2 linked regions of the Mus musculus genome follow. The protein of the gene in region 1 purifies or fractionates together with the protein of each later gene. This does not show direct contact. Links are inferred from orthologs where the notes say so. Each region holds a gene or a part of one and is shown on either strand. Other genes may lie near its edges. The genes, in order: Acbd6 and Nmt1.

Region 1 (4,554 bases):
GTCAGACCCAAGCCATTTAACTTCTTCCTGTTTCTCATTGTTCACTTATCCTGTTCAAAGTTCTGTTGAAAGTTTAATCCTAAATGGTCAATCAATAACCATTCTTTGTAGTTCTTTGTTATTAGCCTTATGTTTATTAGTGTTTTTATTAGTTTTAAGCTACTAGTGATAAATGACTACACATGAGTGTGTGTCTCTACCATATTTAGAACATACTAGCCACTGCTGATACCAAAATCACATCCCTCATTATCTTAGTTAGGGTTTCTATTGCTGTGAAGAGACATCATGACCACAACTCTTATTAAAGAAAGCATTTAATTGGGGCTGGCTTACAGTTTCAGCGGGTTAGTCCATTTTCATCATGGTGGAAGTATGGCAGCACGAAGGCAGACGTGGTGCTGGAGAGGCAGCTGAGAGGTGTACATCTCAGATCTACAGGGAGCAGGAAGAGTGAGCCACTGGGTTTGGGTTGAGCTTTTGAAAGCTCATTGACACACTTCCTCCAACAAGGCCCTATCTCCTAATCTTTCACAAGTAGTACCACTTCCCGATAACCACGCGTTCGAGTATATGAGCCTATTGGGGCCACTCTTACTCAAATCACCACACTCATCTTAAAGATAAATAATAGTTTATTCTGGAGTCACTTCGAGTGACTACAAATTTAGGTTACCCCAAATTCCAAGTTCCAATGTGGAAACAGTTTCATAGTTTTACAGAACAAAGAAAGTCATAAATCAAAGCAAACTAAAAATACATTGGCGGGTACACAGAGAAGCAGTAACACTGAGACGGGGAAAACTTTCCTACAGGCCCAAGAAGATAGTTGACGACATTCTTAGCTTTTGGGTTGGTGAAAGCTACTACTACTACTAGCACCACTACTAGTACTACTAGTAACAACACACACACACACACACACACACACACACACACACACACACACACACACACACACACAGTTGATGTGAGACACCCCAAAAACTGAGAGCAGTTTCTTCAAGCGACATTCCACATTGGGGTTCTCAAATTCCTGCAGGAGAGAGTACCAAAACGTGCTTTTCGTAAAAACTGATAGCAAATGTACACGGTCTGCGTGTAGACGTAATGAACTTTGTGTATGCATACACTTTTTCTTTTTGACAGTGTGCTGGACGTGGAAAGATCTGTTCCTTTCCGGCAGAGCTATAGAACTGGGTTTCACTTCAAGAAGCACAGGCACAACTGAGATGAGACGATGCAGGTTTGGGGGCCTGGTGAGGCACAACTGAGATGAGATGATGCAGGTTTGGGGGCCTGGTGATGCCTTCTCTCAAAGCGCTGGGAAATGAGGGGGCAGCAAGTTTGGAAAACAAAACACTGATGGGAGAGAGTCATCTAACCATTTAGACACACGGTGGGGCAGTGAAGGAAGGTTTCCATCTGTTGGTGACTCGCTATTTTAAGTCAGAGTGGGTGGTTAGGAAACGGCGGAACCTTTGTCCTCAGCTCTCTGTTTCCCGCGACTCTACTCTAGCAGCTACACTAATGGACCGCCTCCTTCCCTTTCCCCTGGGGGCCCTATCCGGGTGAGTTCCGGAGTTTGTGACTCCGAAGTCCCCCCCAAAACCACGAGCGACGTCCCCTGTCTGTCACCGAGGCCCGTATCTCCATCCCGCACCGCGGCCGCCGCAACCCACGCTAGCGGAGCAGGCGGGGCCCCGTATCCACCGGCGCGTGCCCGGGTGCGCGTCCGACCCGCCGAGCTCGCGCCCCGCTTCACCTCCCAGCTCCCGTCCCAGCCGCACGCGCCGCGCCGCCGGCTTCCCCTCATCTTCCAGCCGAGCGGCCTCCAGACCCCGCACCGTTGGAGCGACCCGGGCGAAGCCCGAGGGGAAACCGGGGGAGGACGGGGCGGTCCTGTGCGCCCGGGTAGGCGGAGTGGCAGAATCACCTGAGACCGCCAGACAGCTCACTGCGTTCCCACTCCCGCTCGAGCTCCGCACCCGGACCGGTGGATCAGGCCCGGGAACCCGCGCCACACCGGGGAGGACCGGCCACAGCGAGCTAGTGAACATGGCCACACCGTTCCTACCCTCGGGGGCCACCACAGGCGACAGCGGTGGGGAACTGAGCTCCGGGGACGACTCTGGTGATATGGAATCCTTCCAGACCCCCGAGGCCGAGGGGACCCGGAGTTTGGCCGAGCTGTTTGAGAAGGCTGCCGCACACGTCCAAGGCCTGGTTCAGGTAGCCAGCCGGGAGCAGCTCCTGTACCTGTATGCCAGGTTCAAGCAGGTAAAAGATGGGTGGATGAGAGGACGTGGGCTGTTTCCTCCAAAAACTTAGTAGCAGATTGCGTGGCTAATGGTCGAGCGTAATGAAGTTTGTATGTGTGTGTTTGTTGTTTTTGTTTTTTACCCTGGAGAATAGCATCATTCTGGACATGGAATAATCTCTCTGATATCCAACGAATATTTATGTAGCCGGGCACTGAATGACAATGTTTCAGTGGCCTTGCCTCTGAACCTTTACAAAATGAGGATGATAAAATAAAATTTGGCATTCGCTGTTGCCAGAAGGACATGTGATAGGAAACATGGTAATGTTAATAATAAGTTTGAAATTTAAGAGAACATTACTGTGTATAAGATGCTAACAATATTACTATTATGATTCTTAGGAACTCTAAATATAGTTGTTATGTTTTTGGCTGAATTTGGTCCTGCTAGATATAGTCCCTCCACATTTTTAAAATTAAGGGCTCCATGCAGGTAACATGGAGGTCTGGTGATGAACTAACTCTCCACTCAGCTTCCTGAATCACTTTCATTTCCAAATAGAAAACCCAGGGGAGTAGGCAGTTTAGAAAGTTACATGGATATATCAGAATTAAAGTGTAGTTTTTGTCTCTAAAACTGAATTTTACCCGATAAAGTAAGGACAGGTTTGAGTTATAAACATAAGACTAATTTATCTTTCAAGGTTAGGTACCAGAAGGAAAGACTATTGCCTTCCTTCAGTGGACAGATACAGTTCAGCAGAACACTGGGTGTTCTGTCTATAGAGAATGCAAAGATGAAAGAACATCATGACACTGCCTTTAAGAAGCTTACAGGATTAGTTAAGGAATCTAGATGCAAATGTGAAAAGAAAATCGATGATTAGGAAAATAGGAAAACCCCAGCTCTTTGGAACTTTGAAAGAAATGACGTTCTGGATAGTAGTCTCTTTTATTTTATTAGAATAAAAAAATGCTTATGGTATAGTTACATATATTTCTCCTGAACTCTTTTTTTTTTAAGGTAGTCATGAGAACCCTCCTGTATTTCTAATTATGTTTTTATTGAGTTTGTGTGTGTCAGTGTAGGTCAGAGGACAACTTGCAGGAGTTGGCTCTCTCCTTTAACCATGTGGGTCCTAGGGATTCAGCTAAGGTTGTCAGGCTTGGTAGCAAGCACGGTTGGCTACACACTGAACTGTCCTGTAGTCTTGAACTTGAGATTCTGGGTAGAGGACGTCTTCTTACAGGACTGATGGTTATTATGAGCACATGCTAGTAATGATGTGGACTGAGAGATATCCCTGTGCAAGGATTTTGTGTGATGCCAGGTATGCTGGCACATACCCTTCACCCCAGCGGCTTGGGGAAGCAAAGGCAGGTTATCTCCATGAGATCAAGACAGCAAGCTGCAGGCTAGATGGAGCAACATGGTAAGACTCTGTCTCGAAACAAACAAAAAGTTGTGTAATGGGAAGAACAGGTAAGCACTTCTGCTACATACCTGATTACATTGGTTATTTTAAGGAAATTGAGGAAAATCAGATAGAATTGAATTACAAAGTCCTTGGACTTCTTTGTTTTTTTAATGTTTATTCATTTTATGTATATGAGTGGTTTATCTGTTTGTACACCTACATGCATGCCAGAAGACTGCATTAGATCCCAGGATAGATTCCAGGATTGTGAGCCACCATGTGCTTTTGCTGGGAATTGAACTCAAGACCTCTGGAAGAGCAGACAGTGCTCTTAACCATTGAGCCATCTCTCCAGTCCCCTCAGACTTCATTTTTATTTAACAAAAACTCTGTGAACTCTGTTTAGATTTGGGTGTTTGGCAGATGGTTTCTTGAAGATGAAGTAAACCTGGAAGACAGATGTAAATGTTCATTGCCAGTGGCAATGTTTGAGTTGTCAAAGGAAAAGTAGAGGTTTGGAAATCGCAGGGTCTGCCACCACGAGCTTGATAACTGCCCAATGCTCACAGAGATAAGTGTTGAGGATAATGAATGTGAAATTTCCCTAATCTCTAATACAATATGTTAACATTTGGAAATGCTGAATGACTCTGAGGTATTATCTGTATATTTCATAAGATAATGTTAAAAGTTACTGTGAGCAAAAGTCCCATTCAAAGTGGAAATCAGATAAGTGGTTTTTCACTACAACTGTGTAAAAAGATCCATAGTGCATTCAGATTCCTCCTCATAACTGGTCTTGGAGAAACTATCATTTATTGAGTTTGGGTGTCGTATCAAAGAATTCCACAATTACTGGAAGTACTATAAAAG
Region 2 (3,815 bases), on another chromosome or scaffold:
TCCTTAAAAACAATTAAATCAAATTTTATTCATCTCTGTTCTTTATTTATCTGGTTGTGAGAGGCATGTAGCTTCTGCCGTGTCTCTGCCTGGCTTGCAAGCAGCCTGTCTTTTCACATAGCAGGGGCTCCCAGTGCCTCTGAGCCCAAACTCTTTATAATCTCTGAACCATGGGAAGAAATCTCCACGTGGCTCAGGCAAAATCTGTAGCTTGCTAAGAAGCCAGTTCTTCCCAGCTCCTTATCTTACATCATGGCACATGTGTATTCTATTTGAGGATTTCTAATTAATTTCCAATAGTGGGTACAAGCCTGTAATACATTGAACACCATCTGTAGCAGTGAATTGTTACACGGCTCTGCTCCTGGCGGGTGTGTGCGGCTCTGCACCTACCCAATATAAAATCTATATTTTCTCTCTGCTGTCCCAGACCCAATCGGGAGAGTTTACCAAATTCTTACATGTCAGCGGGCTCTAAAGTCTGACCTCTCTGCTTCCCTGTCATGGCAATTCTGCTCCTTCTCTGTGTTTCTCTCCTAGAATCCTAAAGGGTCCCTCTGTCTTTCTGCCCAGCCATTGGATGCTGGCTCTTTATTGATTCAATCAAAAACCAGTTGGAGACAGGGATTCCCAGCGTCTGGACATGTAGATTTTGAGAGCCGAAGTAAGACACAGCATCAGAAGCAATCCCCACGAGGCTGTCCCCAGCCTTAGCTGGTGTGCTGCGTCTTGCTCACCCTCCCCTGCTCCAGTTCCCAGCCAGTCAGCTGCCTGGACACGGGGGGGGGGGGGGGGGGGGGGCGCTCCATGGTCTCTGGGCTGCTGTTCCTTTGCCTGTGTGACACCGCCTGTTTATTTACTCTTCCTTCAGAATGCCAACGGCGAGGTGACTGATTTCCTGAGCTTTTATACACTTCCCTCCACGATCATGAACCATCCAACCCACAAGAGTCTGAAAGCTGCGTACTCCTTCTACAACGTCCACACCCAGACCCCTCTTCTAGACCTTATGAGCGACGCCCTCGTTCTAGCCAAAATGGTGAGGAGCAGACCACTTTCGGGAGATTCGGGGTGGGGGCTTTGTAGTACTAGTGAGCACATCTCAGGACTTAGCTGCCCATAGCGTGGGAAGCCTCAAGCTCTTAGTTTCCAGCTCTTAGGCAAGGCCCCAGCCATTTTCAGCCACAACTCCAGTCTAGAAGAGGGCTAGGAGTCACTCCTTGGTTGGGGCCTGACTGGCCAGCCAGCCTCAGGGTTAGGGTTCTTTTGGCTTTCTGAGCATGGGAGGGGAGCCTGGGATCTGTCCTAGTGAGTGAATGGACGGCTGACTCCAACTGACAGGCATAGTGGTAGGTCTGTCTGTTGTCTACTTGCCTTTCTCATGACTCTGGGGTCCCTCTGTACCAGGCCAGCCTCTGCACAGGCTAGTTCTTCTCCATGAGGTCATCAGGTCAGTTGGGTGAGATTTTAGAAATGTCCTAGTCCTAGCCTCGGGCAGCCTGTCAAGCATGCTCAGTCAGTGCACACTGGGAACCTGGGAGTTCAGTGACCAGAGCTAGGAAGCTTCGGAGCGGACTCCAGGAGGAACGGCCTGCAGTTTTTGTCCACTCACGGAGACACCAAGGAAAGGCCAGGCTGTGGGTGGTCTGAGGCCTGTCTTGGGGAGCGTATTTGGAGAGTGAGCACTAACCAGGATGCCGCTGGAACCTGTGATGGAAGCCTGCCCTGTGGCTGCCTGTAGGCCAACGGGGGAAGGAAGGTAACCTGTTGCCCTTTCTCCTGCTGCCCTGCAGAAAGGGTTCGACGTATTCAATGCACTGGATCTCATGGAGAACAAGACATTCCTGGAGAAGCTCAAGTTCGGCATAGGGGACGGCAACCTGCAGTATTACCTGTACAATTGGAAGTGCCCGAGCATGGGGGCCGAGAAGGTATGTGTGTCACAGCCAGAGGCCGGGCTGTTGGTCAGGGAGCTCTGCTCTGTGGGAGCAGGGCACCCTGTAGTGCTGGTTGCATGTATAGTAGTTCTGGAGCTTGGTCATACAGCCTCACTTATGCTGGTTAACTGTGTACCTTGAAATTTAAAATAAATATATATATATATATATATATATATATATATATATATATATATATATATATATATAAATTCCAGCCACAGTCACACATTGTGACCTAGAACTTGCCATGTAGACAAAGATTGGCCTCAAGTTCCCAGATCACAGAGATCCACCTGCCCTGCCTCCCAAATTCTGAGACTGAAGGGCGTGCCTCCAGACTTTTCTTTTTGGATTCAGGATCTAAGTCTTTCAGGCTGGCTCAATCTATAGCCCAAGCAGGCTTTGAACTTAAGATCCCCCTGCCTCTGCCTCCTCGGTAGCTGGGAATAAGACCTGCACCATCAGGCATGCAGTTTTGAGGGACTCAGAAGTTAACCTATGAGGTTAGGGTCTCTAGATCCACCTTCCCTGGTCTAGGCTGCCTGTCCTGTCTCAGTGTGGCTCTTTCTTGCCCCTTCACGCCCCACTGCAGGGTGGTCGGTCAGGGGACCGGTCAGTGTCTATGACACACTGACCGGGAGCTGCCTTGGAAGCCATTGGCCCAGTGTTCTTCAGGATGCCACCACTGTTCTTCCTTGAAGGAAATAGAAACCCAGCAAAGGCTGGGTTAAGAGGTCTGGGCTCGGCATCTGCCCTCCCATGGCAGACATTTTCCTCTGAACTCAGTAGACCTGACCTACACGCCTGGGGAGGCAGGAAAGTTCCTGCGTATTGTCAACTCAACATGACCTTTCCCCATTGGCTCTCCTAGGTTGGGTTGGTGTTACAGTAACCAGTTGCCAGTGAGATTCTGGATAAAGCCACTGAGAATTCAAACCAGGAAACGGAACCCTTCCACTTGTTGGTCCAACTTTCACAGATGTGAGATCTCTGGCAAACAAAACAGAACTGAACCGGCTTTACCAAACCGCCAGCGAACTTGACAATTATATTGCGATGGCGTAGGCTGCGTGATGTCACCTTTAGCCATGTTTCTGGTCTCCCTATTTTCAATGAATTAACATGCTCATGCAGCCGTGATCAAGGGAATGTAACTGCTGAAACCTAGCTCGTGATTGGCATATTATGGAGTTAACGGGTGAATAATAAAAGTATATATATTATATATATATAAATATTCTAAATATCTTTCATGTTCCAAATGTACAAGGATGTTTGGTCTCTGATGAGAAAGAACTGAATCCAGTCATTCTTCACAATGAGAGCCCAAGGACAGCAGCAGACAGATGTGCATTGCACAATTACTGTCTCTTCAGAAGCGGTGGCTGTTGTCAGGGGCAGCAGGAGAAAGAGGATCTGGGGAGCCTCACCTGTTCCCCTTTGGAATTGGCTGCCAAGCAGGCTTTGAGCAAGGAGGTAAGGTCTAGGGACTGCCAGCTCAGGAGAGGGCTCAGATCTCCAGCATGACAGGACAAGCTCTTAGGGTGGAACTGGCCCTGGGCAGAGGCCAGACTACTGCATCCTGAGACCAGGAAGTGGTGACAATCATGGAAGTAGATTCATTAATCAAGTCCCTCTTCCATCTCCTGGGCCTTGTCCCGGAGGACACTATTCTACCAAGTGATTTTAGAAGGCTTCTGAGCTGGCTGTTGGCAGCCTAACAGGTGTGTGTCCTCTGAGAGACTTTGTCCTCACTGCTTAGGATGGGTGGCATTTTGAAAAGAACTTTGGACCTTTTGTAGAATCTGGAACCTCGTTGAGACCACATGAGCGCAAGCTCTGTCTAAGGCATATTAGAGCAAGGAGGGAGCTGGT

What was found.
Region 2: the proteins of Acbd6 (region 1) and Nmt1 purify together in Homo sapiens (co-immunoprecipitation; 3 studies listed by BioGRID and IntAct, with this or other methods). This does not show direct contact. The link is inferred for Mus musculus from reciprocal best matches to the Homo sapiens genes ACBD6 and NMT1.

Annotation. Positions count from the first base shown.
Region 1 is NC_000067.6:155,556,580-155,561,133, forward strand, and holds the start of Acbd6 (acyl-CoA-binding domain-containing protein 6), read left to right. Parts: upstream 1-1,540; 5' UTR 1,541-2,058; coding exon 2,059-2,280; intron 2,281-4,554. UniProt on the Homo sapiens protein: Binds long-chain acyl-coenzyme A molecules with a strong preference for unsaturated C18:1-CoA, lower affinity for unsaturated C20:4-CoA, and very weak affinity for saturated C16:0-CoA. Does not bind fatty acids. Plays a role in protein N-myristoylation.
Region 2 is NC_000077.6:103,062,937-103,066,751, forward strand, and holds part of Nmt1 (glycylpeptide N-tetradecanoyltransferase 1), read left to right. Parts: intron 1-871; coding exon 872-1,039; intron 1,040-1,793; coding exon 1,794-1,931; intron 1,932-2,811; coding exon 2,812-2,832; 3' UTR 2,833-3,815.